Macaca mulatta: one gene and its partner. The protein of the gene in region 1 purifies or fractionates together with the protein of each later gene. This does not show direct contact. Links are inferred from orthologs where the notes say so. Each region holds a gene or a part of one and is shown on either strand. Other genes may lie near its edges.

The links.
Region 2: the proteins of MTMR4 (region 1) and DNAJC10 purify together in Homo sapiens (affinity purification with mass spectrometry; 3 studies listed by BioGRID and IntAct, counting the BioPlex papers as one, with this or other methods). This does not show direct contact. The link is inferred for Macaca mulatta from reciprocal best matches to the Homo sapiens genes MTMR4 and DNAJC10.

Annotation. Positions count from the first base shown.
Region 1 is NC_133421.1:51,494,598-51,498,423, forward strand, and holds part of MTMR4 (phosphatidylinositol-3,5-bisphosphate 3-phosphatase MTMR4), read left to right. Parts: intron 1-1,222; coding exon 1,223-2,621; intron 2,622-3,826. UniProt on the Homo sapiens protein: Lipid phosphatase that specifically dephosphorylates the D-3 position of phosphatidylinositol 3-phosphate and phosphatidylinositol 3,5-bisphosphate, generating phosphatidylinositol and phosphatidylinositol 5-phosphate.
Region 2 is NC_133417.1:87,664,427-87,668,252, reverse strand, and holds part of DNAJC10 (dnaJ homolog subfamily C member 10), read right to left. Parts: intron 3,214-3,826; coding exon 3,051-3,213; intron 1,307-3,050; coding exon 1,256-1,306; intron 1-1,255. UniProt on the Homo sapiens protein: Endoplasmic reticulum disulfide reductase involved both in the correct folding of proteins and degradation of misfolded proteins.

The DNA of each region.
Region 1 (3,826 bases):
TGTGCTTTGATGTGGATTCTTTTGTTTAATCTTCATAATAGCTTTAAGAGCTAGGTACTTTAACCTTTATTCCATAGATGAGGGATCTGAGGCTTAGAGAAGTTAAAGTCACACAGCAAAGATGTTGTTAAATTGGGATTTGAGCCCTGCCTATGGGACTCCAGGAACTCTAATTATAACGACTGTTTTTGCCTTCCTGGAATTTCATACCATTAAAAAAAAATCAAAATTGGTCATAAAAGTTATATCAAATATGTATAAAACATTTAAGTTTCAAAAATCAATTACTTAAAATAAGCTGCGTTGTAACTCTGCCTTTGGGGGATTTTTCCGCATGGGCTGAACTGACTGAGCCATCTAAAAATAGGAGGCCAGTGAAGTCTCTACTGTTTCCCTGGTGAATTTCCCTCAAGTTTTCATTGCTCTAAGGACTTTGAACTGCATTAATAATCAGGATGGCCATTCTTGAAAATGTCCCTTAACACGTCTGGTATATATGAATGCCTCTAGAACTCTGAGTGCTATATACCAGGGGAAGTTTCCATGGGGCCTTGGGAATCAGAGGAGCACACCGCTGCTAAGTGGTTATAAAGAGCAGTGCTGAGGGAGTTGTGTTGTCTTAATAAAGTTTGTGGTTATTATGTTTGTGGTTGGTTGCCTATGTTTTGAATTCTCGTAGCATCTCTACAAGGTATGATTTATTATCATCATTGTATAAAGGGAGAGACCAAGTATCTGGGAGGTTAATTTACTTATTTGTAGTCATGTAGCTAATTAGTGTCAGAGCCAATATGTTCTAGCTCCAAAACCCGTCTTCTTTCTGTTTTATTGTGATGGAGGCAGTGAGATATTGGGTTTGAGTCTCGGGTATAGTCCTGGCTGGAACAATAGATTCAGAAGGCATTGGCATAGAAGGCAGCTGAAACCATTGTAGTGGTTGAGATTGCCCAGGGAGACTGGTAGGTTGAGTGCTGACAAAAGCTGAGGATAGATTTTTGGGTTCCAGAGGACAGGGTCCATGTCTTACACTTTTTTTACAGAGTAAACTTTCAGTGAACATTGGTTATTTGTGATCTTAAGGGTCATTATTGTTAAACTTAAGTGTTCTTAAGTGTCATTTTTTCTAAACTCTCGCTTTGATATTGCTCCATTGATTCAGCTCCATATATTGTATTGCAAGTGCCCATCTCCTGACCCGGAGGTGTTATATTTGTCATTCCAGATTACCTAAAACCAGATCCATGGATGATCTTCTTTCTGCCTGTGACACAAGCAGCCCCCTGACTCGTACATCCAGTGACCCTAACCTGAATAACCACTGTCAGGAGGTCAGGGTAGGCCTGGAGCCCTGGCACAGCAATCCTGAGGGATCAGAGACAACCTTTGTGGACTCTGGGGTAGGAGGTCCTCAGCAGACTGTGGGAGAAGTGGGTCTTCCTCCTCCTCTGCCCAGCAGCCAGAAAGACTACTTGAGCAATAAACCTTTCAAGAGTCACAAAAACTGTTCTCCAAGTTACAAATTGCTTAATACCGCAGTGCCTCGGGAAATGAAGAGCAACACCTCTGATCCTGAGATCAAAGTCCTGGAAGAGACTAAGGGACCAGCTCCCAACCCTTCTGCCCAGAATGAGGTGGGTAGGACTTTAGATGGCACAGGGGAGCCACCTGAACATTGTCCTGAAACAGAAGCTGTCAGTGCACTCTCCAAGGTCATTTCTAATAAGTGTGATGGAGTTTGTAATTTTCCTGAGTCTTCCCAGGACTCTTCTACAGGTGCGCCCCAACAGGCCCAGCCAGACTCCTTGCTAGGTGTGCCCTACAAATGTGTTCTCGATCACAGCCTCAGCACCCTTTGCAACCCACCAAGTGCTGCCTGCCAAACTCCTCTAGGCCCAAGGGCTGACTTCCTCAACCAAGATCCCTCAGGGTCTGTGGCAAGTATCTCCCACCAGGAGCAACCGAGTTCTGTGCCAGATCTGACTCATGGGGAGGAAGACATTGGTAAAAGAGGAAGTAATAGGAATGGGCAGTTATTGGAAAATCCTCGCTTTGGGAAAATGCCATTGGAATTGGTCCGGAAGCCAATTTCTCAGAGCCAGATTAGTGAGTTCTCTTTTCTAGGGTCCAACTGGGACAGCTTCCAAGGGATGGTGACTTCATTCCCAAGTGGGGAGGCCACCCCTCGGCGGCTGCTTTCCTATGGCTGTTGTAGCAAGAGGCCAAACAGTAAGCAGATGCGGGCCACGGGGCCCTGCTTTGGGGGCCAGTGGGCTCAGAGAGAAGGTATGAAGTCACCTGTCTGTTCTAGTCATTCCAATGGACATTGTACTGGCCCAGGAGGAAAGAACCGGATGTGGTTGTCCAGTCACCCAAAGCAAGTCTCTAGCACAAAGCCTGTTCCACTGACCTGTCCTTCTCCAGTGCCTCCTCTCTATTTGGATGATGATGGACTCCCCTTTCCCACGGATGTGATCCAGCATAGGTTACGGCAAATCGAAGCAGGGTACAAGCAAGAGGTAGAGCAGCTACGTCGACAGGTGCGTGAGCTTCAGATGAGGCTGGATATCCGTCACTGCTGTGCCCCTCCAGCAGAGCCTCCCATGGACTATGAGGATGATTTTGTAAGTAGTCACCAACTGCCATACACCCATTATTTAGTCTGTTCATCCAGCCTTCCCTCCATTCAGCATTTATTCGTTGGGTACTTGCTGTGTGCCACTGAGTTAGGTGCCTGGACTATAGGATGAAAAACAAGTAAGCAATTAGAATGATGTTTTTAAGTGCTATGATTGAGGAGGCATCGGGTGTTAGAGGGCTGGAATGGAGTGAAACATCAAGGAAGGCTTTCTTGAGAAGGTAATGCTTGAGCTGAGTGCTGAAGAATGTGTGATATTTAGCTAGGTAGACAGTGAAAAGGAAACACCATTTGCAGAAGCATCGTGGCAATAGGTACTCCAATGATATGGCTTAAAAGGATGGGACATGCGAGTGTATATGTGTACATGCATGCATACACACTTACACTGGGGCTGTAAGAGACAGATAGGGTGGTGGGAGCTGACATTGGAGAAGTAGGTGGAGATTAGAAGGGTCAGCTTGAGTGCCCTTCTTGTTTGGATTTTACCCTTAAGGCAATAAAATTTTAGGCCAGTGTATAATATGATCAGAGTTGTACTTTAAGAAAATGACTCTTACACTCTTGCAACAGTGTACAATTTTTTTTTTTTTTTTTTTTTTTTTGAGATGGAGTCTCGCTCTGTCACCCAGGCTGGAGTGCAGTGGCGCGATCTCAGCTCACTGCAACCTCCGCCTTCCCGGGTTCACACCATTCTCCTGCCTCAGCCTCCTAAGTAGCTGGGACTACAGGTGCCTGCCACCACGGCCGGCTAATTTTTTTTTTTTTTTTTTTTTGTATTTTTAGTAGAGACAGGGTTTCACCGTGTTAGCCAGGATGGTCTCAATCTCCTTACCTCGTGATCCACCCACCTCAGCCTCCCAAAGTGCTGGGATTACAGGTGTGAGCCACTGTGCGTGGCCCAACAGTGTACAATTTTAATGAGTCAGTTGAGACCCAGATTGGGAGGCTGGTAAGGTCATTTTGGAATAATCCAGGTGAGAGATGAAGACTATGTAGGCTGTGCAGTGTTGGGCAGCCTCAGGTTCTGGCACCATAGTGCTTGGGGAGCTTCTAGGAGCCAGCTTCCTCCCCATGGTATCTTGCCATTTTCAGACACTTTCCTTTCTTCTGTTAAGGTGCTCCCCACTTGCCTGCTTCTCACTTCTCTGGTGCTTTAAACAGTAATCAACAAACCTTTTTTTTTTTTGT
Region 2 (3,826 bases), on another chromosome or scaffold:
ATCCTGGCACTTTGGGAGGCCAAGGTGGGTGGATCGCCTGAAGTCAGGAGTTCGAGACCAGCCTGGCCAACATGGTGAAACCATGTCTCTACTAAAAATACAAAAATTAGGTGGGCATGGTAACGGGCACCTGTAATCCCAGCTACTCAGGAGGCTGAGGCAGGAGAATCGCTTGAACCCGGGGGGCAGAGGTTGCAGTGAGCCAAGTTTGTGCCACTGCGCTCTGGTCTGGGCAACAAAGCAAGACTCCATCTCAAACAAACAAACAAACAAACAAACAAAAATAACAAAAAAAGCCACCCTTGCTCAGAAGGAACAAACTGTATATAATCAAGTAGCTGTAATAAATTTTTAACGATAATAATATATGAAAAACATTATATAGATTTATATGTATTTTTTGTGACTGGTAGGCTACTTTAGTTTTCTTTTTTTTTGTGGTGCCATCATGCTCACGGCAACCTCCGACTCCCAGATTCACGCGATTCTTGTGCCTCAGCCTCCCGAGTAGCTGGGATTATAGGTGGGTGCCACCACGCCCAGCTAATTTTTGTATTTTTAGTAGAGATGGGTTTTCCCCATGTTGGGCAGGCTGGTTTCTAACTCCTGATCGCAAGTGATCCGCCCGCCTTGGCCTCCCAAAGTGCTGGGATTACAGGTGTAAGCCACTGCGCCCGTTCGTATTTTAGTTTTCCAAATTAAATGCAATTGTGATAGAGTTAATATAAAATTGAAATTTGAAGTATAATTTATTGCTTTGAAGTATAAAAAATAAACCTATTATTACCGTACAAAGGGATGAAAGTATAAGAATCTATTCTGGTATACAATTTTCTTAAATGCAATGGAAAATGCAGAACTGTATTTTTATGGGCATTTCACACAAGTTGCCAATCAAATTAAATCTACTTCCAAAATAACTATACCTTTATCAAAAACTCTAAAATCAAAAAGCTCTAAGAAATTTTGCTGTAAGTTTGTAGCAAGCTCATTTGGCATCCAAACCTGATCTGAACTGATTTTTAAATTTCTTTTATTTAGTATATACTTACACATTTTGCTACAGAAATATTAATGTTTTTATTATGGTACACTTCCCCACATTCTGCTAGAAATATTTAATATACAGTATATTACATTATTACTGTTCGAAAATCCAAAAGATTTCTAAATTTCAAACATATATATCCCCAAGAGTTTCAGATGAGATCGAACTTGTATTAAGTTTCATAAAACCTTAAGCCCACAAACTTACCAAATTCTCTTCTTTCCAATGTTATGATTTCAGGATCATCATCATAAATACCTAATTTTAAAAGTATATAAAAATTATAAAATCAAAACTTCACTATATAAATTGCCACATAAAAATAGATTACTCATTTTAATCATCAAAAAAAATCAAACTACTATATTAAATCTCAAACTTAGAGAATATGCAACAACTTAAGTGGAAAAAAAGTAAATAATACTATCAATATATTTAGGGTGATCTAAAGATACTAGAATTTTGATACAGACTCTCATAGGTGTGTGTGTGGTAGTTCCTAATATTCACATAATTTCATCTCCATAGAAAATTTATATTATGGTTTTAAAAATAATTAGATTCAGGGAGGTGCAAAAATATAGACTCTTGTGTACTTTTTACTCACCTTCCTTTAATGGTGACATGTTAATTAGCTACAGTATAATATCAAAAACCAGGAAATTGAGAGTGGTATACTGTTAACTAGACTACAGACCTCATTCAAGTTTCAGATTATATGGTTTTTAACACATGGTATCATGTTAGAATATCTTCTGCTAAAAAGTTTGGAATATTTGCAGAGGCAGACACAAATATTTAGTAAATATAACTTTTTTAGGCTTTGTGGGATGTATGGCTTCTGTCACAACTTCTCAACTCTGCTCTCAAAGTGTGAAAGAAGTCATATATATTATGTAAACAAATGAATGTAATTGCATTCCAATAAAACTTTATTTATAAAAGCAAATGGCAAGCCAGATTTGGCCTATGAAACGCAGTCTGCTAACTCTTGATATAGACTATCAAGGTGTAGAGAATATACTTGAAAATACTATTTTGAAAAGAAAATTTATATTTACTAAAAGCAAATCCTCCAGATATAAATTTAAAATGCTGTGTGTTTACATTCTTTCTTCCTTGGTTCCTTTACTTTGTTTCCTCCTTCCACCTTATTTTTTCCTTCATGTTTAAGAAAAAGAACACCTTTCGTCCTTCTCATATGCAACCTTTATTGATAATGTTTCAAGGTATTGACCTTAATGTCAACCGAAGGCCAAAGCACCTTAAAACATCAATAAGGGTTCCATATGAGAAGGATGGCATTTCTATTGAAGAGATCATTATTAAACTTAAAGTTTAGCCTTTCTTGGAAAATATGATGCTCTAAAATATATTGAAAGAAATATTATTTAATACTAAAAAATACTGAAAGAAATATTTAACTACCCCTAATGCAAATATATAGTCATACATCACTTACTAACAGGGACATATTCTGAGAAATATGTGGTTAGGGAATTTTGTTGTTGCAAAAACATCACACAGTGTACTTACACAAACCTAGATAGCATATCTTACTACACACCTAGGCTACAAACCTGTACAGCATGTTACTGCTGAATACTGTAGGCAACTGTAACACAATGGTAAGTATCTTTGTATTTAAACATAGAAAAGCTACAGTAAAAATATGGTATTATAATTTCATGGGACCAATTTCCTACATACAGTCCATTGCTAAGTGAAATGTCATTATGCAGTCCATGAATGCATATTTTTTATTAAATAACAATCCTTATTTTAAAAGTATTTAACAAGATTTGACCAATACAACTTCGTATCTGTACAGATCATCTCTGTATACCCACTGACTTTCCTTTTAAATTTCACTCCCACAGCAAATTAAAAGGAGCTAATCAAAGTGACACAGATTAAATATATAACTTAAGTGGTGAAACAGAATTCACTTTTCTTTTACTCAGATAAAAAACATTTCATAAGTAATATTGTATCACCTTACCAAAATCATAACGATAATAGTTCCAGCTTTCATACTGGCCACCTTGATTATCCTCAAGTCCCTTTTCTCCATATTTGTCATACTTTTTCCGTAGATCTTCATCTTTGAGTACTTCATATGCTCTATTTATTTTTAAAAAATCACCATGTGCATTTGGGTTATTCTGTTAAAAAATATTAGATATAATACAATTATTTCAGATACACAATCCAAGTTTCCTTCAAAAAATATATGTAAGTTTAATTAATCTAGTGACTTCTGGGAGACCACATACCAACATGAGGAGGGGTAATACAACATGACATGAGTTACCATGGGTTGAAATGAAGTATTTTTTGAGAAACTATAATCTTCAATAAAAAAAAAAAGTAAGAAAAGTAATGAAATAATAATTGACTCTTCAAAAGGCTGACAGATGTTATCAGACCATGTAAGTTATTTTTCCTAAAAAATGCAGCTGAGTGAAACTAATAAGCCTGTTGAAACTCTTAATTTCATATTTATTACTCCTATAACAATTATAAATCAATACATTTATAGGTTATTTTTCTATTTAAGGCAAAATCAACTTATTAAAAAAGGATGTGCCCCAATCCATCAAATAATTACATAAAAGCCAATATCAGAAAACACCCCAAAACTGATTCCAGTACTTTGGGAGGCCGAGGAGGGTGGATCATTTGAGGTCAGGAGATCGAGACCAGCCTGGCCAACATGGTGAGATCCCCGTTTCTACTAAAAACACAAAAACTAGCTGGGCAGTAGTGACGCACGAC